Linked DNA regions of Pelodiscus sinensis. The protein of the gene in region 2 binds, or shares a complex with, the protein of the main gene of each other region. Links are inferred from orthologs where the notes say so. Each region holds a gene or a part of one and is shown on either strand. Other genes may lie near its edges.

The links.
Region 1: SNRNP40 (region 2) and E3 ubiquitin-protein ligase RNF113A-like share a complex: the UniProt entries of both Homo sapiens proteins name them as parts of the pre-catalytic and catalytic spliceosome complex. The link is inferred for Pelodiscus sinensis from reciprocal best matches to the Homo sapiens genes SNRNP40 and RNF113A.
Region 3: SNRNP40 (region 2) and SNRPD1 share a complex: the UniProt entries of both Homo sapiens proteins name them as parts of the U4/U6-U5 tri-snRNP complex. The link is inferred for Pelodiscus sinensis from reciprocal best matches to the Homo sapiens genes SNRNP40 and SNRPD1.

What each region holds. Positions count from the first base shown.
Region 1 is NC_134739.1:6,622,840-6,630,652, reverse strand, and holds the start of E3 ubiquitin-protein ligase RNF113A-like, read right to left. Parts: upstream 3,004-7,813; 5' UTR 2,841-3,003; coding exon 2,741-2,840; intron 1,647-2,740; coding exon 1,570-1,646; intron 231-1,569; coding exon 126-230; intron 1-125. UniProt on the Homo sapiens protein: Required for pre-mRNA splicing as component of the spliceosome. As a component of the minor spliceosome, involved in the splicing of U12-type introns in pre-mRNAs. E3 ubiquitin-protein ligase that catalyzes the transfer of ubiquitin onto target proteins.
Region 2 is NC_134735.1:17,396,204-17,403,798, forward strand, and holds the start of SNRNP40 (U5 small nuclear ribonucleoprotein 40 kDa protein), read right to left. Parts: upstream 3,003-7,595; 5' UTR 3,000-3,002; coding exon 2,865-2,999; intron 2,409-2,864; coding exon 2,279-2,408; intron 672-2,278; coding exon 578-671; intron 1-577. Other genes in the region: ZCCHC17 (zinc finger CCHC domain-containing protein 17), read left to right, coding at 5,707-5,772. UniProt on the Homo sapiens protein: Required for pre-mRNA splicing as component of the activated spliceosome. Component of the U5 small nuclear ribonucleoprotein (snRNP) complex and the U4/U6-U5 tri-snRNP complex, building blocks of the spliceosome.
Region 3 is NC_134712.1:178,735,880-178,743,457, reverse strand, and holds the start of SNRPD1 (small nuclear ribonucleoprotein Sm D1), read right to left. Parts: upstream 3,004-7,578; 5' UTR 2,798-3,003; coding exon 2,784-2,797; intron 346-2,783; coding exon 269-345; intron 1-268. UniProt on the Homo sapiens protein: Plays a role in pre-mRNA splicing as a core component of the spliceosomal U1, U2, U4 and U5 small nuclear ribonucleoproteins (snRNPs), the building blocks of the spliceosome.

The sequences.
Region 1 (7,813 bases), on a different chromosome or scaffold from region 2:
AAACCTGACCATGGCGCCCAATCATAAAACCAACCAATGACATAGTCTGCATAACAGAGACCAGAGTAAGTGATCTTAGTGTCCCTTCTGATCCCTTTTAAAGCCATGTGGCGCATTGTGCTTACCGCTGATCTCGTTGATTTGTAAGCGACACCAATTCCTTGCGATTCCCCCTCATCATCACTGCTGCTTGCCCCATACGAGGTCTTCTCTTTATCACTTTTCCTGGTCTGAAAGATGGAAAGGCAAATATCTGAAGAACTGAGAAAGATCCACACAACACAACACCCAGACATGTTCTCCTGGTTGGCCAGAGACAGTGTTGCAGCCCAGGAAAGCAAATCAGTGGAGTGAAAAATTGTCAAAATCAGGGCCCATATCCACAAAGCATTGGTTTAATGCAGCCACCGCTGGGCTGGAAGGAGGGCAGAGCAAAACTCCTTTGATTCTCCTAGATCAAGGGGCATCACAGAGTAAAATTCTTGCATTAAGAGAGCCAAGTTATAGGTTTAATTTGGATCTGTGAGCCTACAATGCCAGAACTTTTCGTTTCCCTCAATCTGCCGTGCATCTCCACTGGATAACAATAGGAGGTCTGAGAAAAATCAAACAAGCCATAGAATCCTTACACAGCTTAACTGCTTCAGGGGATAGCCATAGCTTTAGAATTCTGCCAGTATGCTTCTGTCATGCCAGGGTGTGATCCCTGACCCCTCCTAGCAGTGCCAGCAGATACTACTATACAGGCAAAACTTCACTGATGCTGATATTACTCTTTCTTGGGGTGGGGGATGAAATAAGATATACTGGTAAAATCAATAGAAACTGCATCCACACTAGAACCCCTTTGCTGACATAATACACCAGTATAGTTATACCAGCAAAGCAGTAGCCTAGATTTTCAGTTACTGAAGTTAACTGAAGTTATTGTGGCATACTGCATCACACTGGGTAAAAGTCACACAGGATACTTTTAGATCTTTTAGATCTTCCACTTACTGCCCTATGCTGGCCATTTTCATATGCATTTACCCAACCTGTGCATTTATGCTCACAGATTAGTAAAATCTAGTCCTTTGTATATCCTCATTAGGCTTTGAAACATAAATTACCCCCTTGAGAGGAAAGTTCACCTCTCTGACCGTGGGGCATTGCATACCCCAGAAGTCACTTCTGCATCAATTACTGTCTGCACATTTGAAAGAATTTTCCCATAATCAAATGGGCTCAAAACAGAGGGATGGGTTTTCTTTTGTTTTTGGAGGCAGGGGGGCTGTTAGGTGAGAACCTGAATTCTGTATAGTCTGAATCTGTCATGAGCCCAAATAAAATGTATAACTGGCTGGATCCATAGGCTGGGTGTATGACACTGCAACAGCTGAGGGAGGGTGCTGGCAAACCAGCTGCTGAGCAGTTTCATGGTGTTGGCACCCCCCCCCAGGGATTTCCAGGGGCCGAATGTGGGACCCATCCCACCCCCACTTGACCAGGAGTTTGGTCCCACACAGGGTGGGATGCAGTAACTGGACAAGGCATGGAGCTGGGCATCTCTGTGATGGGCTTGGTCACCTTCTGGATCATGGGGTTGTGGGTGTCCCGCCGCCTCTCCTTCCTGACCACCGTGCTCCCCTCATCGCTGCTACTCCCTGCGGAGGACAAGACGCCATCAGTTCAAGGGCCCTGAGGGGCAGGAGCAGCTGGGCTGGGTCAGGCCCTGGCCCCATGTCCCTTCACCCCAAGGGGCACCCCCACATGCCAGGGCCTGAGCACGGGGCTTTTGGGGGCCACTCAGCCTGCGCAAGAGGCTGGGCACCAGCCCTTGGGGGGCCCCCGGCCCCTCCAAGGGAAAAAGGCACCATCAGTTCAAGAGTCCCATGGGGCAGGAGCAACCAAGGGGGAGGGGTGAGTGGGGAGGGCGCCCCCAGGCCTCTCCAGGATGTCAGGGCTCCCCCACCCACCAGGACAGTGGCACTGTCCAGACGCCTTGCCTCTCCCATGCCATTAGGGCAACCCAGAAACCCTCAACCCCTTCCCCAGTAATAGTGGGACAGCCCAACTTCCCCTACACTTCAGGGCAGCCCAGAACCCCCCTTTCTCCAGTAACAGTGGGACAGCCCAACACCCCTCCCCCCCCACACTTTAGAGCAGCCCAGAACCCCCCTTTCTCCAGTAACAGTGGGACAGCCCAACACCCCTCCCCCCCCACACTTTAGAGCAGCCCAGAACCCCCCTTTCTCCAGTAACAGTGGGACAGCCCAACACCCCTCCCCCCCACACACACTTTAGAGCAGCCCAGAACCCCCCTTTCCCCAGTAACAGTGGGACAGCCCAACACCCCTCCCCCCACTCTTTAGAGCAGCCCAGAACCCCCCTTTCTCCAGTAACAGTGGGACAGCCCAACACCCCTCCCCCCCACACACACTTTAGAGCAGCCCAGAACCCCCCTTTCCCCAGTAACAGTGGGACAGCCCAACACCCCTCCCCCCCCCACACACACACTTTAGGGCAGCCCAGAACCCCCCTTTCCCCAGTGACAGTGGGGCAGCCTACCCCGGAATCTCCCCCCTTTCCTACTGATAATGGATCAATCCAGAAACCGTCTCCAGTGATAATGAGACAAACCTAGAAACCCTCCCCCCCCCCGAGTACAAATGGCATAGCCCGAAACGCATCGTTCACCACCACCCCTCCCCGCGATAATGGCACGGTCCGCGGCAGGGGAGCGACCCCCCAGCCTCACCCTGCTCCTGGTCGCTGCCCGGCCGCTTGCGTCGCCCCCTACCGGCGGCCGGGCCCCGCTTCTTGAACAGGAAGCTGCAGACGGGGCTTTCTTCCGCCATCTTCCGCCGCCAACGAGAGGGGCCGGCAAGGAGCGGAGAGAAGGACCCACCGGCGCCAACGAGACGGGCCGGGCTGGAGCGGAAAGGAAGCAGCCGGCAGCAGCGCCGCGCTGGGCCCCCTGGCGGCGGGGAGGGGGAACCGCAGCCTCTGGCTCCGCTTGCTGTGTCTGGGAGAGGAGCGGAGCAGGGCCCCCAGCACGGGGGGAGGGGCAGGAGCGCCCAGGAGGGGAGGAGGAAGCAGGGGCCCCAGGATGGGGGGGGGGGGGCAGGAGCGCCCCAGGAGGGGAGGGGGAGGGGTAGGAGCGCCCCAGGATGGGTGGGGGAAGCAGGGGCCCCAGGATGGGAGGGGGAGGGGTAGGAGTGCCCCAGGATGGGAGGGGGAGGGGTAGGAGTGCCCCAGGATGGGAGGGGGAGGGGTAGGAGTGCCCCAGGAGGGGAGGGGGAGGGGTAGGAGCGCCCCAGGAGGGGAGGGGGAAGCAGGGGGCCCCAGGAAGGGGAGGGGCAGGAGCGCCCCAGGAGGGGAGGGGGAGGGGGAGGAGCGCCCCAGGAGGGGAGGGGGAAGCAGGGGGCCCCAGGAAGGGGAGGGGCAGGAGCGCCCCAGGAGGGGAGAGGGAAACAGGGGCCTCAGAAGGGAGCTTTCCCTTTTCAGGGGCTGCCCAGAGAGAGCAGCTACCCCTCCCAGCTAGGAGAGGGTCTGATGCCGCCCCCCCTGGGCTGCTCTGCTTCAGGCAGTTGTGCTGTGGCTCCTGGGGGCATTAATGAGACTAGCCCGAGGGCCCAGGCTGGGAAATGCTTCCCTGCCCTGCAGGTGAGAGGCTGGTGCAAGCACCCTGGCCTGCTGGGTGCTCCCTTCTGAACGGGGGAAAGCCGAACACTGCGGAGCCCCACGCACTCCTAGGTAGTATTGGGCATTAGCCTTTCTTTCCTGGCCAAACTCCACCTTTGGCTGTTACAGTACAGCAGGTCTCTTCCCAGACTACTGTGCCCTGTTAAACGCCTCCCACACCCCAGCCTAGAGGTGCCTGCGTTCCCATGGTAAAGCTCTTTGCAATCCCTATGTCTGAAAGGAGCTAATAGAAAAGATTATTATAAGCTACTCTGAGTCAGTAGCAGCTGTTTCTGAATACCAAGAACACTGCTCTTTTCCAGCCTGCCAACAAAATGCTTAGGAAGCATGTGTATCCCCAAGCTTATGGCACCTGAAAGGTTAATTCCTCCTCGCACCTGTGTCTCATCTTCTTGCAACCTTGCTTTGCTTCCTGTGAGCAGAAAGCGTCCCCAATGCAAATCATTTGGCTCCCAACTTTGAACTAGCCAAGCAAAGAGTGTGGTTGGCAGCATGGGGTATCACCATTATCCTCCAGTAAAGAGGATTCAGTGTATTTGGTGGGGGATTTATTGGTGATCCTGGATGGCTCAAAGGATTGGGAGTGGGATGAGTTATATAGTTCCCTTTGTGTCAGGGTCAGGAGTAACTAGGGTGACCAGACATCATGATATTATCAAGACCATTCTGAAATTAGGGGCTTTGTCTTAAAAAGGACCATATTACCCCCCCTTCCATTACTCCCCTGCATCCCAATTTTTCACATTTGCTCTCTGGTCACCTAAGAAATAACCAAAAGTCTTTCTCTTCTTTAGTGGCTGGTGTGAAATGATTTGGCATGTTCCGCTCAGAGTGGATGCATCTCCAAATCGTACCAGCCTCCCTGTGGGTAGCAGAAGCCACCTACAGGCAGTGTCTCATTTCTAGAGGTGATGCCCAGTTTTCAAGTGTGTTAGTGCCCAGTACAGGAAAGACTGGGAACACTCTCTTCAGACTGTATGGTCAGACAAATACAGTTATAGAGTCAGAGTACTAGAACTGGAAGGGACCTCGAGAGGTCATCAAGTCCACTCCCCTTCCCTCATGGCAGGACCAAGCACCGTCTAGATTAGGAGTGGGCAATAATTTTTGAAGGGGGCCACTTCACAAATTTCAGAAGTGGCCGCGGGCTGACCCAGAAGGGGTGGGGCATTGGGCGGAAGGAGTGGGATTGACGACTACCCTGTGGAGAGCTTTGCTTGGCCTCGGGTCCCGACCTCCTGACTTCTGGCCAATGGAGGGTGCTGGAGGCTAGCCTCCTCCCAGAGTTGTCTGGGGTGGAGGCTTAGAATTCACATAACATGGCTGGCAGCTCCTGGCCCTGCTGCTAACCTGTTGCCTGGTAGCCACCCAGCACTGACCCACAGAAAAATCACTTGGGGACCACACAAGTGAGAAGCAAAAAAACTCCTCCAAAAATCTCCAGCGCTCACTGATGTGGCTGCACCTGAGGGTATGTCTACACTACAGAGTTTTTTTCAGAAAAACGGCCGTTTTCCCGAAAAAGCTTCATTTTCATCCACACTGCAGGGAGGAGGGAGCGCTCTCCAGCAGCTTCATGGGGGAGGAAGGGCAGGGCTGAGCTTCCTCCCACGTGCTGCTGAAAATTGATTTGCTTGCCATAAGTTGCCCACATGCCGTAGGTTGCCGACCCCTGCACTCGGGGGTGGGGCCTGGAACTGCCTTGCAAGCCCGATCAAAGCCCTAGGAGGGCCAGATCCCACCTGCTAAGAGGCTTTTGTCCACCCCTGGTCTAGATCATCCCTGACAGATTACTATCCAATCTGCTGTTAAATATCTCTAGTGATGGAGACTCCACAGCCTCCCTACACTATTCCAGTGTTTAACCATCCTGACAGGAAGTTTTTCCTAATGTCCAACCTAAACCTCCCTTATTGCATTTTAAGCCCATTGCATCTTATCCTCTCAGTCTTCTCTTTTCTAAACTAAACAAGCCCGATTCTTTCAGTCTTCCCTCATAGCTCATGTTTTCTAGCCCTTTCATCATTTTTGTTGCTCTTCTCTGGACCTTCTCCAATTTCTCCACATCTTTCTTGAAATGTGGTGCCCAGAATTGGACACAACACTCCAACTGAGGCAGAATCAGGGCAGAGTAGAGCGAAAGAATAACTTCTCGTGTCTTGCTCACAGCACTCCTGTTAGTGAATCCCAGAATCATGTTTGCTTTTTTTCTGTAACAGTGTTACACTGTTGGCTCATTTTTAGCTTGTGGTGCACTATTAACCCTAGATCCTTTTCTGCAGCACTCCTTCCTAGACCGTCACTTCCCATCCTGTATGTGTGAAACTCATTGTTCCTTCCTAAGTGCAGTACTTCGCATTTGTCCTTATTAAACTTCAACCTATTTGCCTCAGACCATTTCTCCAGTTTGTCCAAATCATTTTGAATTATGACCCTATTCTCCAGAGCACTTGCAACCGCTCCCAGCTTGGTATCAATGCACCTCAAGTTCTGCCAATGCACCTCAATCCTGATCTACAATGACCTCTGGCATTCCCGTTCCAGTGCCACCCCAGCTCTGCCCATGCACATAGTCCTTATCTACAGTCTCCATCACTATTCTAATCCCAAGGCCCCTGCTGATGCATCTCATTCTGGTCTACAGCATCCCCAGCTATTCTAAACATGAGCTCTCACTCTGTTCAGCCAAAGCACCTCATCCCTCCCTCTCTGGTACTTATACAGCCCCACCACCACCACTGCAATAACTGAGCAGTTCCCTTCTGAGCTTTTCTCATGTCATGTGGATCATGTCTGCTAAGGACTAAAAGGGGACTAGATTCTAACGTGAGCTACGCAGGCATCCTCTGGAATAACCCCTGTTGCGGGGCATATGTGACTGAGAGGAATTTTGCATGGTCTCTTACAATATGGCTATGTCTATACTAGCGGCTTCTTGCACAAGTAATATGCAAATGAGGCTAAGCGTGGAATATCGCCGAGCCTCATTTGCATACCTAATGAGCCACCGTTTTTTTCAGAAGAGGCTCTTGCACAAGAAGGAGCGTCTACACTGCCCCTTCTTGCGCAAGAAAAACCCTCTTGCGCAACGCCATTCTTCCTGAAAAGTAATAGGTGTAACAGCATTGCGCAAGAGGGTTTTTCTTGCGCAAGACGGGGCAGTGTAGACGCTCCTTCTTGTGCAAGAGCCTCTTCTGAAAAAAACGGTGGCTCATTAGGTATGCAAATGAGGCTCGGCGATATTCCACGCTTAGCCTCATTTGCATATTACTTGCGCAAGAAACCGCGAGTGTAGACATAGCCTATGTGTTAACTACTTATGCCAAACAATCTGTTCCACCTTGTATTTAGCGGTGACATATCTGAGTACCTTTCCCAGACCTGAAGAACAGTTCTGTGTAGCTTGAAAGCTTGTCTCTTTCAAGAGGTTGAACCAATACAGAGGTTGGACCAAAACAAGATACCGCTTCATCTATCTTGTCTCTGTAGCAACCCCACCATCCTTTTCCATTTTGCTCTCAGATAGATTTACACTCGGTTCTTTAGAAAAACATGTTGGGTTCCCCACGGAATATTGACCTCGGTCTTCTTTTAACGAGATTAAATCCTTTCCTCCTGGCCTTGTTTTGATGTAACGAAATGTATACGAGTCTGTCCTTGTCACTGTTCAGAAGGTGCAGCATGTTCCCGCTAACTGATGTTACAGGCTTGAGCTATTTAGAGATTGAGCAGGTTTCTGATCAAACAATGGGCTGCCCAGGACCATCTGTCGCTCCCTGATTCTTCCTTTTATCATCCTCCTGTAATAATCAAGCGGGGCCATGTTCTATAATTACATCCCCACTAGCTGCAGAGCCAGACAATGCACTCAGATGCTCTGGTTTGTAGCACTCATGGGCCTGAAGTGGGGGATGAATATTGTTTGAGTGAGGGTCTGGAAGACCCTGTCAAAAGCAACCAGTAATAATGTCTGTTCCTAGGAGAGTTGTGTCTGCTGCTAGCAGCTTCCCCAAGCTGTTGGCTTCCTCAATGGGTGCTGTAGAACCCATCAGTGGGGCTGGGGAAAGCAAACAAAAGGGCTATGGAGTCAATATTTTCTTCTCTGTGTGTGTGTGAGAGAGAGAGA
Region 2 (7,595 bases):
CCCTGCTCAGGATGATGGGGGAGGGGGAGCCATCTCTTTTGTAAAAACCTCAGATAGCATTGGATAATCTGGAAAGCTGCCAACATCGCCTTCCTAGTTTTCCTTTTCTTATCCTGAATTGTTCCTTCGTTGTCTCTCCCATCCACTTTCCCACAGATTCACTTGCTAGGGGCGGGATGGGACGGGACGCCTGGCTTTAGATCTGCTTCCCATCCATGAGCCTTGGAACTTGCCACTTAGGTTCTACTCTTTGCTCCTGCACTCTACAACAGACGTAGCGTGTGGAGCTATTTCTGGGAGGGGGAGCCATTCAAAGAGCACCATTGCTTTTTCTCTTCAGAGCCACCAGGTGAGCACTGAAGCAATGAAGAGGAGCTGTAAAGCAACTTACATTCACCAGCAGCTAGTTCCCCACTTGCCAGTTGCAGGTACCTTTTACAAGTTTTATCCAAAGGTTACTGGCTTCATCTAGCAGCTTTTCATACCAACTCTCTCCCCAAACATTTCACAGAGTTCATTTGGAAACATCATCAAGGTAGGCTAATGACAGCTCAAGTCAGTTTCATCTGATATTTACCTGCCATCAGTATTATAGTGCAACTCCATAACTGCTCCACTGTGTCCCTTCAGAGTGGCATAATTATCACAGTCCCCATACACATTCCATAGCACTGGAAAGAAACCAAATACACATAAAACTATGTTCTACGCCCACATCATCACAGCTACACTTCCTGGGCTCACTAAAATGAAGCACTTACAATATTCAGCATAATCGCCAAACTCTCATTTTAAATAGGTTTTTAAATATGTGGAACAGAAGATGTGAAAGTTCTCCTCATCTGGGGGAAGGGTAGGGAGGCCCATGTCTCCCCATGGCCGCCACCCTTATTAACTTGTTCCTCAGCTGCCACTTGCCAGGCCAGCTGCTGCACCATCCCTGACAAAGTGCAGGGAACTTCGCTTCTCTGAGCGCCCCATCAACAGACAGAGGCGGTTGGTTAATAATGTGTTCCACAACCCGAGTCATATGAGCAGTAGGATTTTAATCCTAAATGTGAGAGTTACTGGCTAACTGATTGCTATAGGGCCTGAAATAGGAGAACTCAGCAAGGGAAAGCAAGACCAAGGATCACACTAAACAGAAAAATCTGCATCTTAATTTATTTATTAATGAAGCCGCTAAAATGTAAATAGGACTATTATTGACTTCAAAAAGTATCAGTGGCACACAGATCCATAAATAGAAGTGAATAAATTAAATCTTGGCATGTCACATCTGAAAGGTTGACAATCCCTGCCCTAGTACATTCTTAGGTTGAACAGCATGTTGTTGCAGTGAGTCCCAGAGGTTAATGATCCATTGTGTAGAAAAGTATTTCCTTTCAACAAACCTGAATGTCATCTTTGCTCCTGTATTATGAATAAGCATAAATAGAAACATCTGTTTTAACTCTTCTATACCCTTCATTTTGTATCCTTCTTAAATGTAGAGAGCTGACAGATTAGATGGGATATGAAAGGAGTCCCACATCAAGCTGTCCTTATGGAGAAGGATTTCTCATCCCTTTATAGTCCTGTATGGCTGTGCAACCCATAACTACAGTGTTGCAGTTAAATCCATATTCATACAAACAGGAATCCAAAATGTATATCTGCGTTCATAAAAATGAGTCACAGATATCTGCATCCACATCTGTGGATGTGGATACCAGGGGATATAAAGCAGATATCCATGGATTTGCAGAGCTCTAACTGTAACAATACTATGTGGCTTCTTACAAGAGTTAGGGTATGTCTACATTACCAAGTTTTGTTAACAAAATGTATATCAACACCCAAAAATTGATAAAAACAAAAATTGCCTAGAGGGTGTTCACACTTGCTCCCTCTGCTGACAGAGCATGTTCACGCTGAGGGCACTGTCATTGACAGTGTGAGCAAAGCACTGTGAGTATGTATCCCACAGTACAGTGTTGTGAGAAAGCAGAGCTGGGGGCATGGCCTGGCAGGGTAAGCAGGGGTCCACGGACTAGCAGTTGGGAACTGCTGATTTAGGGCATTAAAGAGGTTACCAACGCTTTTGAAATATGCTCAAAAGCGCACAGCTCATTACTGGCCTGCTGTCAACATTTCACCCCATTGCTCTCAGCAGCTCAGTCACTCCATTGCACTTGAATGAATGGAAAGCAGTTTACACCAGCAGTGTATTATTATTATTATTATTTTTTAAACAAACCACCCTCATAGCACAAACTACTGATCATTACAAACTCACAGATCAGTCTGTCAAATCCTGCAGATGCTAAAGTTGCTCCATTAGGGTGAAACTTGCAACAGTAAACTTCTCCTTCATGCCCCGAGAGCAGCATTATAGGTGCCTGGAGGGAAGAACAGCGTGGAGGGCCCTAAAACACAGAGGGAATGCAGACAGAAATGAAACAGAATAATAAATAATGAGCTAATGAAACCTCTGAACCAGAAGGTGGACGGTGTGGGGGAGCAGGCCAGAAAACACCCCCCCTCCCATAACTCCTTCACTAGTTTTAACTCGGGTCATATTTCCACTTTTCTGACACACACAAAATAATAATAATGGCAAAGCGCGTCTCACACCCCGCCCGCCACGGGCCCCACCTCCGATGGGGAGGCGGAGGCCCCGCGCAGCAAGAGGCCTGGTCTCGAGTCACACCAAGGCCGGTGTCAGTTCAGCGCGGAGGCTACGAACGACCCAAAGAGGCGGAGCCACGTTGCGACAGGAGTTGAGCGGCCCCCCCCGGCCCGGCCCCCGCCCCTCCGGGGAGCCTCGGGGTCACCGCCCGCGGGGGACGCGGCCCGGCCCATCCCGGGCCCCCCGCGCTCACCGCCTGCAGCAGGGCCCCCGGGGGCGGCGCCCCGCCCGGGCCGGGCCCCAGCAGCTCATGCCGGGGCCGCTTGGCCGCGGCCGCCACCAGCGCCAGCTCCGGGACCGGCCCCTTGCGCTTCTGCGGCTCGATCATCCCGGCCCGCGGCAGCCGCTCGGCCTCGGGCGTCCTGCAGCGCTAGGCCTCGCTCCGCCCGCGCCCGGCCCCCATTGGGCCGCGATGCCGCGCTCTGATTGGCTGCGAACGCCAAGCGTGCTGATTGGGCAGCGCTGGCCATGCTGGCTAGGGGATTCGCCGGAGAGTTCTAGCATCGGGCGCGCCCATTGGCTCCGTAAGTACCCCGCGCGAGTATGCCGTGCCGTGATTGGCGGGCGCAAGCTTCCTCAGCTCGAAGGGACCGGGGTGCAGGTGGGATGACGGCGGCCGCGGCGCCCTTGAGCGGGTGAGGGGGCGGCGCGGCCTCAGCCCCTTCCCCTTCCCGCGCTCGGCAGGCCCCGCTCGCGGTCCGGGCTCGCTGCTTCTGCCCGCGGGAGCCGCTGAGCGTCGCGTCCAGGCGCAGGCCGGGCCCTTTGCGCGCCCGCTGGCGTCAGGCCTGTGTCCCGGCGCGAGCGGGTTCCAACCGCCCGGGGCAGCGGCGGGAGAGCCGGCCGGGAGCCCGGTGGCCCCTCGCAGAGCGGGGCGGGGAGCCTAGAGCGGCCCCCCCCGGCCCCTCCCACGGGTACACAACCTGCCCCCCCCCCCCCCGGCTCTGGTGCGCGAGGGGGATGTGGGGAGCCCAGCAGTGAGGGGTTGTTGGGTTTGGGGCCGCTCATCTCTGTGCGGCTCCCGACTGACTCTTTCCTGTGGGTCCGTGGCCGCCACCCCCCCCCCAAAGTTCCACACTCCTGTTAGAGTCACCGATTTATTTTGGCGTAACCTCTCCTGAGTAAAAACCACTTGGTCAGCTGCGTGGAGTCTACAAGGGGCCACAGGACTCTTCATTTTCCCAAATACAGACTAGGGTTACTGACTGTGTTTAAAGTTACAGGCTAACGCAGCTACCCCTCTGAGGCCATCGGCTACCCCTGTGAAATAGGAATGAAGTGTCTGTGAGGCTGAATTCTGAGAATAGGGCAAAATTGGCTAGTTATTATCCAGAGCCAGTTTATAGTCACGTGTTCATATTTTGCTGTATCTGCCTAGGTACTTGAATACTTAGTGTTTTTGAGGTACTCTTCTGACATACCCTACTGCAGAAAGCTCTTTGAAATATATCATAGCACCCTTTTATCCAGGGAGAAACTGAGGCATAAAGTTTAGTAACTTGCTCATAATTGTACTGAAAGTTATTGGGAACTGTATCATTGAAGAACTCGGATTGTCTGTTTCCTCAACTTGTTCTCTATCCACTTGATTACACTGCCATAACGTATAGTGTGAGCACAAGACACTATGGACACATCTACACAAAAGTCGAATTAAGCCACGCAGCTTCAGCTATGTCAATTGTGTAGCTGAAGTTGAAATTAGGGATGTTAAATATTGATTAACTGATTGAATAGTTGATGGGATTTAATTGATAAGGACTAGTGCACATTCCACCTTTGAAATGTACAAGAGCACCAGTGGGGGCTCTTGGGCATTGTAAAGAGGAAGCATCTCATGGAGCCTAAGGTCAGTGGGGGACTCGGAGTCCACCCCAGGCTCTATGCAGCATTTCAGTCTCTGAAATCCACAAGAGCCCCTACTGGAACTCTTGAACATTTAAAAAAGAAAGCACTACTGCTGCTGTGCCCCGCCCCATCCCATGGAGCTGGAGCTGGGGGGAACTGACTTTTAAGCTGGCTCCCCCCAGCGCCCTTCCTCTTCAACCCTTTGTTGCCTCTTTGTGATAGCGGCAGCGAGGGGAGAGGGAGAGGGAGGAGGAGTGACTAGTTGACTAATGTGTTGACTATCCGATAAGCTTTTGCTTATCAGGTAGTCAGTCGCTTACATCCCTAGTCAAAATAGCTTAATTCGTCTCTTGGCGCTGTCTACACAGCAGGTAGACGAAGGAAGAACTCTCTTCTTTTGACTTCCTTTACTCCTTGGCTGTGTCTACACTGGCACCCTTTTCCGTAAAAGGGATGCTAATGAGACACTTCGGAGTTGCAAATGCCACAGGGGATTTAAATATCCCCCACGGCATTTGCATGAACATGGCTGCCGCTTTTTTCCGGCTCGGGGTTTTGCTGGAGAAAAGCGCCAGTCTAGACAGGATCTTGCGGAAAAGGGTTTATTTTCCGCAAGATCCCGTCTAGACTGGCGCTTTTCTCCGGCAAAACCCCGAGCCGGAAAAAAGCGGCAACCATGTTCATGCAAATGCCATGGGGGATATTTAAATCCCCTGCGGCATTTGCAATTCCAAAGAGTCTCATTAGCATCCCCTTTACGGAAAAGGGTGCCAGTGTAGACACAGCCCTTGTGAAATGAGGGTTACAGGAGTCAGAGTGAGAAGTCTTCCAGCTCGCTATTATTTCGAAATAATGTCTTGCTGTGTAGAAGCGTATTTGGTTATTTCAAAATAACATCACTTATTCTGAAATAACACATCTGTGTAGACTTACCCTATGGTATCAGATATTTAGAAATTAGTGAGAGTGAAAGCAGTGCAGATAAAAACCATCCCTGAAAAGTTTTCCCAGAGTTTATTTCTTTTATCACTAATGAAGATATTTCTTTCAATAAATGGTGTCTTTCTTTATTTCAGCTACGAATAGGGTTGCTCCACAGCAATAAATGGGACATCTAATACATGGAAACAAAGTAAGCTATAAAGGTTGGGAAAGAATTGTGGAATGCATACTCTTAGAAAACTTCCCAAATGAAGTCTGTGAGACCTGAGGCAATGGAGACTTTACCTGAACTCTATGATGTCTTCCAAGGAGAGGTATGTGTGGTGTTGCTTAGGGTCACAAAAGAAGCGTGGGAGACATGAATGGTGCAAGATACTGAGAGATAATAGAGAGCCTTTCATTTTTAAATCTTCAGTTCAGAATCAACCCTAGATACAGGCAGTAAAACTAAGTGACCAATGTAAAATGAGCTTGTGTTGTGTACTCTGGTTCATAGAGAGCAAATGTCCACATCACAAAACCCACTACTGTCACAGCTGTCTCACACTGACCTCCTGTTGGCATTCTCGGTAGAGCGTTTAAAGAATATGTAGGTTAGAGAGAGAGAAACGGAAATGAGACCCGAGGGCCATCAAAAGGGGCAGTGCCAGAGTGATGGGTTTTTTTAAAGCCATTCTCGTGATCTTGGCTTCTGGGCTCATTATTTTTGTTCACTCCTTTATGCTAGAGTTGATGCGCATTGACAGGGAGGTAAAGTCGACTTCAGTCTCTAGTGCTGCTGCCTTCTACTGGCAATCTCAGATTAAAAATGTAATACGCTTTTTTGTAAATACTAATGTTTTGAGAACCGGCTGAGACTTTTATTGCAGGTGTTATTTCATTAGATGTCTTAAAAATAAAACCACTTCAAAATAGTCACATTGCTAATGTCATTCTGAAAAGCAATATCTACTAATTTTGAGAAGATTAGCTAAGAATGTGTGTTCATAAACATGCTAGTCCACTCTTAGGATGGGAAAAGCTGTCTGCAGAAAATTCATGCTGATAATTTCTCTCAGCCAAGTCTAATTTTCGACCCAAGTGTAGGGGAATCTGAAAGACTTATTGCTTTAATTTTCACATTGTGTTGAGCTTGGGGATAAAGCTTTCCTTCTGCCTCATGCTGTGAGATACAAAAGACTTTGGCTCTTAAAGTAGGAAGCTGTTTTGAATAGCTGCTATCAAGATAATTTGTTGCTCAGTCTGGCACAACTTGAAGTTCTGAATTTCAATATTTTAGGTTCACTCCATGCTTGAACTTAGCATAAAAATCCGCAGTGCCCTTAGTTCCTTTCTTGTAATTAAAAAGGGAAGTGATATTCTGTTATCGTCTAAAGAGCCTTACGTAGTATGTTTAACTTCAAGAATGGGAGAGGACAAAGACTAGAATTAGAGATATCACGGGACTGGCAATGAGCTAAAGAGCCTCTCAAATTTCAATTGGTTCAAATCCAGCCTTAGGCCCTGATTCCAAAATAATGCTCTACACGGGTGGATCCATGCAGCACCTAATCAACTTCAGTGAAGTTCTGTGCAAACTCACTTGTCTATTTGCGTAAGTGTGGCAAAATTATTAGGGAGGGCAAGTTTTACCATCAGATGTTTGTTATAATTATGTGAAACTAGTTGGTGGGTCTCAGTCTAGATACTAGTGGACCAGTATCTATTTCAAAACCACCACTGCCACGGTTGGCACTGACCCATCTTCTAGTGGGCAGTCTCATTAGAGAGGCCTACGATTACAGGAAACCCCCACGTTACGATTGCCCGAGTTGCAACCCCCCGCACTTACAACCATTTTTGTAAGTGTGGAAGGGGCTGAAACCCCCTGACTTACGTCCTTAGCCCGCATTTACGACCGTGCACGGCGCCTATTGTAAATGTGGGTTCGAGTTACGACGCCTCTGACTTGTGACGCTTCCCCAGGAACTGATCGCATCGAATTTGGGGGTTGCCTGTAATCTGAGCATGGAGGGAAGGGTTAACTCCACCTTAGTGCTAGGATGAGGTCCTTCAGAGACATGCTGGTTTGCAGATTTGGGGATGTTTTTCTTGCCTGTCCAATGTCTGTTCCACAGAGGCTGTAAGTTCAGCATTA
Region 3 (7,578 bases), on a different chromosome or scaffold from region 2:
AATTAAAGATACACGTACAGTCTAAACATTCACCGCAAAGGGAAAAAAAACCACACCCCTGAATAAGGAAAAACCCTAAAATGATGTTTCTTATGCTACTGCTTGTGAGGTGATTTTATTTGCCACCACATTTTTCACAGAATCCATCTCCTAAGACGACTCATTTAGCTATCACAGTGGAGTCTCTTTAGAAGAGAATGGATTTTCCTTTGTCTATCAATTCCTTAATTATTTTGGTTTTTAGTCTCCATCATCTTGAATTCCATACCTGTAATTGTTCCATGCACTTGTGTTCCATTCTTCAGTTCAATGGTCACGGTTTCATGACTCAATTTCATTAGAAACCTGAAAAATAAAAGTGAAGTTGAAAAGCAGAACTTCCATTCCCATATGACAATACAGTAATAATCAACTATATGGCTTTTCTGAAAATGTTTTGTAAAAGTCTTGTCTCATATCATCAGAACTTAGGAAAATGAGGTTCTACCACTTTCCTTAACTCACCTAGGCCCTGGCATATGCATTACAAACAATATGAAGTGATCTCAAACCTCATAATATTCCAAAAAAGGTAATTCTGTATGAACTCTGAGGAACTGCTACAACCAACCAAAAAAAGCCAGTGATGACTGTACACACCATTCCTAAGCATCCTGACTGGAAACTGTTCCAAAGAATCCACAAAGAGTTTAAGTACAATTCTGATACGCATTTGGCATCTAAGCATTATAATGCATTAATTCAGCAAAAAACATTTACTAGTTACCTGACAGTCATTTAAGACAAGCTTTGCTTTTTAACAAAATAAATACAGGAACTACAGTCATTGCTATGGGGCAAATAACCAAGTAAAGTATTCACAACCATAAAAAAGGAATATCAGATAGTGAAATCTAGGCTTTTGTGCACTTTTACCCTCTACTATACAGATTTAATTGGGGAGATCAGCATTTTTTAAACTGAGGGCCTTGACCCAAAACGGAGGTGCAGGGGAGTTATTTTGGGGGGAGGGGGAGAGGTGGTTGTGGTATTACCATCCTTAGTTCTGTGCTGCCTTCAGAGTTGGGCAGCTGAAAAGCAGCAGCTCCTTGCCAGGCACTCAGCTCTGAAGGCAGCACCCAGGCAGCAGAAGCACAGAAGTAAGGGTAGCAATACCATACCTTCCATCCTTAATTCTGCATCATTGCCTTCAGAGCTGGGCAGCTGGAGCATGGTAACTGATGACGGAGCGTCCAGCTCAACAGGCGGCAGCACACCCAATCATTCTTACCTCTGAGCTGCTGCTGGCAGTGATTCTGTCTTCAGAACTCAGCTCCCAGCCAGCAGCTGCTATCCTTCAGATGCCCAGCATTGAAGATAGTGCTGCCATTAGCAACGGCATAAAAGTAAGGATTGTAGTACCTTGAGTCCCCCATAACTCCTTTTTGAGTTGAATCCCTACATTTAGAATATAATGAAACTTCAGATTTCAATAGCTGAAATAATGAAATTTAAGATTTTTAAAATCCTATGATGCTGAAAGTATCCAAAATGGACTGTGAATTTGGTATGGCCCTAAATCACAGGGCTATAAGGGACACTGAGGGTCATCTCTTCTAACCCCTTGCCAAGAGGCAGGATTTGTTACATCTAAACCAACAAAAACAGCAGATGGCTATCCAGCCTTTTCAAAAGCCTCCTGTGAAGGAGCTTCAACAAATCTCCCTAAGCAATCTGTTCTAGTCCTACTGCTTTTATAGTTGGAACAACAATATTTAAACAGAAATAGGCTTACTTATCCCAGGAGCTGTTTTGTTAAAAAAAAAAAACGGTTTTACAAAACTGTCAATGGTAAAAGTATGTTCAATAACCCTAAATAACCCTTTTGTATTAAACAGTCATTGTAGCCCAAAAATCATTGCACTGTTTACCAATCCTAAAGTGAAAGTGACAATACAACAAACTAATCTATTTTCATTTGCACAAACTGAATGAAGTGCACGACATGAACAATACCGACACTGAAAAATGTAACTTTTAAGAATTGTTCAAGTTATTGTTTAGCAGGGACATATGGTGTTGGGAATAAGCGTTCTTTGTGGCCCAGCTAGGGACAAGGGAGTCCCAGTCTTGCTGAGTTTTAGCAACACTCCCCAAGAGGGGAGCCACACTTCCCCTTACTCCCCCGTCTCGCAGTTATCAGGGAGTAACTCTTCTGGCTAGTAGACACTTGTGTAACAATGAGAGTCGCATTTAAACAGGCGGGAAATGACCCTCCCCCCCATGGGGCAATGACACTTTCTTTTATCCATAACCAGGCTCATCCACGTGTGCGCGCGGGGCGAGGAAAGACTTAGGAGTCGCAACCAGCGAGCAAAGGGCGAAGGCACCGGCCGGGCAGGAGTCTCTGGCAGAGACTCGCCGCCCAGGGGCCACAGGCCGTAGTGGGGGGGGTGGAAGAAGTCACGTGCGTGATGTTAACAGTCACGTTCCTTACGGGGCCGTTGGGGACAGGAGCGGCCCGTGGGGAGGGGGCGGGTGGCAACGGCCACCTCGAGACAACTGCGCGCTCTAGGGGGAGGGGCTCCCGGAACCTGCACGGGGGGTGCACAGCTGCGCCCTGCTTCCACCCGCTGTGGAACGGGACGCCCGGCGCGAGGCGGGGGGGGGGGGAGAAGAGTGAGGTGCGCGCGAGCAGCCGGCGCGGCACGAGACGGCGGAAGGCCCAGGTTGCGGCCCAGCGCTCGCGCTCCTTTCCCGCCGCTGCCCGCCCCCGAATCCGCCTCCATCCGGGCCCATCTCACCTCACGAGCTTCATGGCGGCGGAGCGGGGGCGTCAGGCCGGCCGGGACCACAGAGCGGCAACCCGGGCACGGGGAGAAAGAAAAAAAAAATTGAGCTCGGGGCGGAGGCCTCGGACCAGGCCGCTCCGGCGCTCGGTGAATGAAACAGCGCTGGCGCGACTGAGCGTCGCGCGACTCAATAGCCGGAAGCGCCGCTCCTCGCGGCCGGATGTGCGTTAAGGCGAGGGGCGGGGGCCCTCGCCTCCCGCCTTGTGGGGGCCGGGCCAGCCCTGCTCCGCCGGCAGCGAGGGCCTGGCCAAAGGGCAGCGGCTTCAGCGCGGCCCCTCGGCTGTAGCGCACTCCCCCCGCGAGCGGCTCTGTCTCGCACCGGCGCGCTGGCTCAGGGACGGCAGGGGTCCTGCTTGCTTCCCTTCCCCCACGCGAAAGCAAACTGCGCAAAAGCCCAGTTTTGCCTCAAAAGTCAAGACGTTTAGGACAAGGCTGGGCTTAAAGAGGAGACTCTCGCAGCCAAAATGTGGACCCCTCCTACGCATCAATCAACTAGCAAAGGACATTGATTAAGTTTCCGTTATGGTACAGAGGAGTACGCGACACGCAGTGTTCAACAAATGCAAGGGATTGTGAACAACAGACATTTCTGCTTTAGTTGTATGCCTTTATTGAATGATTAGTACCCCCTCTCCACCAATATCAGTGCTGCTTTGGATTGGCAGTAGAGACTCAATGGCATTTTTTAAGGAAATACTTTGAACCAAAATTACCCTTTATGACATCAGATAAGCTGCTATCCTGCACTGGAGGGCTGAATACATTTCAGGACCACATTCACATTAATGTGTAGTAGTACTACCTATGGATTATGATATTTTTAATAGGGATGTTAGATATTTTAGTAATCATATAGTCACAACAATTTTTAATGGTTACCTGGTTATTAAAAATGTTTCTCCTGGGGCAGAGACTGACAGCCATTGCACTACCAGCTCCCCGCTTCACTCCTGGGGAAGCCCCCTGCCATCCCATGCTTCTGCCTCCATATCACAGGAAACAGTGTGGAGTGGCAGGCAGAGCTGGTCCACAGTAGAACTAGGTTTAAAAATCCCAAGCTTTCTGCCAATAGGATGTTCCAGCATTCTCTTCCCCTCCCCTCCCAAGTGCTGCCCATTTAAGCCAGCTCCTAGCATCAGCTTTTGCCTGCTCCCCACACTACTGGGGGGGGGGAAGGAGGAGGAGAAGGGAGCTGCATGGGAACCAGCATGCACAAGGAGCCATGTTAAAAGCCCACTCAAGGGTACTGGCTCCTGCCTACCTCTCCCCCAATAGAGGCAGGAAGGAAGGTGTGTGTTCCTTTGAATTAACCAATAAACCCAGGGGCTACGTCTACACTGGCCCCTTTTCCAAAAGGGGTATGCTAATTTTAAACTTCAGAATAGGGAAATCCACAGGGGATTTAAATATCCCCTGTGGGATTTAAATAAAGATGTCCACCGCTTTTTTCCGGCTTGTAGATAAGCCGGAAAAAAGCGTCTAGACTGGCCCGATCCTCCGAAATAAAGCCCTATTCCGGAGGATCTCTTATTCCTACTTCAAAGTCGGAATAAGAGATCCTCCGGAATAGGGCTTTATTCCGGAGGATCGGGCCAGTCTAGACGCTTTTTTCCGGCTTATCTACAAGCCGGAAAAAAGCGGCGGACATCTTTATTTAAATCCCCCGCGGATTTCCCTATTCTGAAGTTTAAAATTAGCATGCCCCTTTCGGAAAAGGGGCCAGTGTAGACGTAGCCAGGCTGTTAGTTTGTGTCTTGATATAAATGCACACTTGGTCTCTTAAATTTAAGGGTAGAGTCCTAGGTCTACCAAATGTTTTGATTCAGAGTTTAGAAATACCCTGATAGAGTATATTCATAAGAGTGCTTCTCCAGGAATCTTTTTTTAAGCAGGTTTCTGATAAAACATTGATTCCCTGGGAGTCTACCAATTCCTCTAATGCTGAGGATATAAAGAAAGAATTAAACCAAATATAGAAGGACCCATTGTAATACACTTGTACCTCTAATCTGGCAACCTTGGGAAAGAGAGTATGATGGATTAAGGAATTTTTGCAGACCACGGAAGAAGCTGGGAGGGTTATGGTAATGAGGCAGTTACCTGGCACCCCATTCCCAAGGGCACACATGACTATGCCCCGCCCACTCCTAGGCACCACCTGCTGCTATCACAGCAGTGGGGGAAAGCTTCTGGAGAAATGCTTTGGTGCATTGCTGATCCTCTCTCTCCCCCGAGGGAGAAAGACAATACAGCAATGTGCAGAGCCATCTTGCATTTGCGCAAGAGGTTTTTTTCCCAAATGGGAGAGTCATTGTATTTGCGGAAGGACACTGACAATCTTACATTAGATCGTCAGTGTTCTTGCGCAAATTCAAAACGGCCAGTGTAGACAGCTGGCAAGTTTTTCCACCAAAGCAATTGCTTTGGCGGAAAAACTTGCCAGTGTAGATGCAGCCCTCATGTATCTAACACTGAGCCAATAAAAAACAGTGCTGGTGGTCTAAGTTGGCCTTGTAAAGGGGTGGACAAAGAATTGAGTCAAGTAGGGAGTCTAACTTCAGGTGATAGAAATGTAGCCATGTTAGTCTGGTGTAGCTGAAACAAAAAACAGGACTATGTAGCACTTTAAAGACTAACAAGATGGTTTATTAGGTGATTAGCTTTCATGGGCCAGACCCACTTTCTCAGATCAAATAGTGGAAGAAAATTGTCACCATCTTTGGTATATATGGTTGTGACAATTTTCTTCTACTATTTGATCTGAGGAAGTGGGTCTGACCCACGAAAGCTCATCACCTAATAAACCATCTTGTTAGTCTTTAAAGTGCTACATAGTCCTGTTTTTTGTTTTAACTTCACGTGTTATTTTTAAACTTCTCCTGTGTCTCCCCAAATGCTTTGTTTTTCAGAAAGGTAAAGTTCATAGTTGGCAGAGGAAAATGGAACATATTTGCTAATTAAAATCTTATTTTTAAACTAATCCATTAAAAGTTTTAAGTATAAAAATAGAAGGCTTTAATTTTGTATTTACAGATTAACTGCTCAGAATGTACCTGATGATCAGCCATTTCCAAGAAATAATTTTTAAAGTTTGCATTTTTAAACCCATCAACTAAAATACAGGAACAACTGTCAGGATCTAGAAAAGATTAAAGTTTTATTGTAATTTATGAGTACATCATATGCAAACTTAGATACAGTACACAATCTCCTTGCAAAGCATTGGAATACAGATGCCCTTCCAAGTCTCAAAACCTACATTAATCTAGTTCTTGCTATGTGGTTATATTAGCTGTCCAGGTTTTGTCTTTGTTGCAGCAAACTCTTAACAGGAGATGCAAGGAAAGATTTAGATACACATAGTAAGACAGCTGGACTACATTTCAAAACATCACCTGCCAATGAGGCATACAAACCATTATTTAAATATTTAACTATAGAGTTCTTATACTTTCTTACCCATTACAGAGTTGATGTCTGAGATTAAGTTAGAAAGAATTTCTCAGTTAAACTGTCAACTGATATTTCCACTGTAGCATCTAAAAGCAACATGTACTTTGCATTTTTATTACTAGCACTTATGAACAGGTAATGTTTAACAAAACCAAAGAGGCCTTCAGAAACATTCAAGATTAAAATGAATTGTTATTGCAAAAAACTGTACATATTTTCAATCATAACACAATGAAACACTGATGATGCAGTGTTTTGTGTGCTAGGCCATTAATGACAACCGTGCTAACCCTAGTATTCTACTTTTTTTCCTAATATTTAATCTTCATAATTGCAATCTGAATATACAACTGTACTTACAGGAAATATTAAACAATGCACAGTGCCATAAGCAAATTTCATGTCTAGTTTAACAAATCATAAAAGTGACAAAATATTTTAAAATTGGTCCTTGATTCAGATTTTATGTAGATTTGGAAGCACTAAATTTAAGACACACATTTATTGATAATCAGCAAAAATATTCAGAGCTTAATTTTTTTAGTTTTATCATGCGTAAAAAGCAAGCTGCTGCCACTTCCCCTAAGTGCAAACATGGAATTTAGCAGAAGACTGTCATCCCAAAGATTTATATTCTTTCTTCCACAGGTAATCCCCACATAACCAAAAAGTAGATAATCAGGTGACTAAGAAAATAATATGAAGTGTATCTTCTACATTGTGACTGTTCTTTAAATATGGAATACTTTGGACCATTAGCATGAGGGTCAATAAACACAGTAGAGAAGTTTTACATTATTTGATTTCATTTACATCATAAAAAGCAACAATCTGACCTGAATCACACTTAAATTGCTATCTAACTGTAATAAAAAGTCATCTGGAGATTGCAGTAGTTTAGTGCAAAACACATTTGCAGCCTCAGAAGTGTCCACCAATAATTCATCCTCTCACCTTACAAATAGGTTAGTAGAATATTGCATCAATTGTAGATGAGACAGAAGACCTGAATTTTGATAGAAGCAATAAGGTATGATTCTCTACCCTAATTAAAGGATTTGTGCTAACAGTGACTGCCTGTATGATGGACAAATGAAACTCAGCTGTTAAGTCTAGAAATAAAACTTTGTATTACTAGGAATGCTATCTTACCTGAAAGAACATGATGTGAGTCTACATTACTAATACTACCACAGCTGGACATGTTGACACAAACTGAACCAGAGATCTTTGTTAAGATTATGAGATCACATGTTGAATGAAACTACCCTGCTAGGCTGTCAACTTAGAAGGC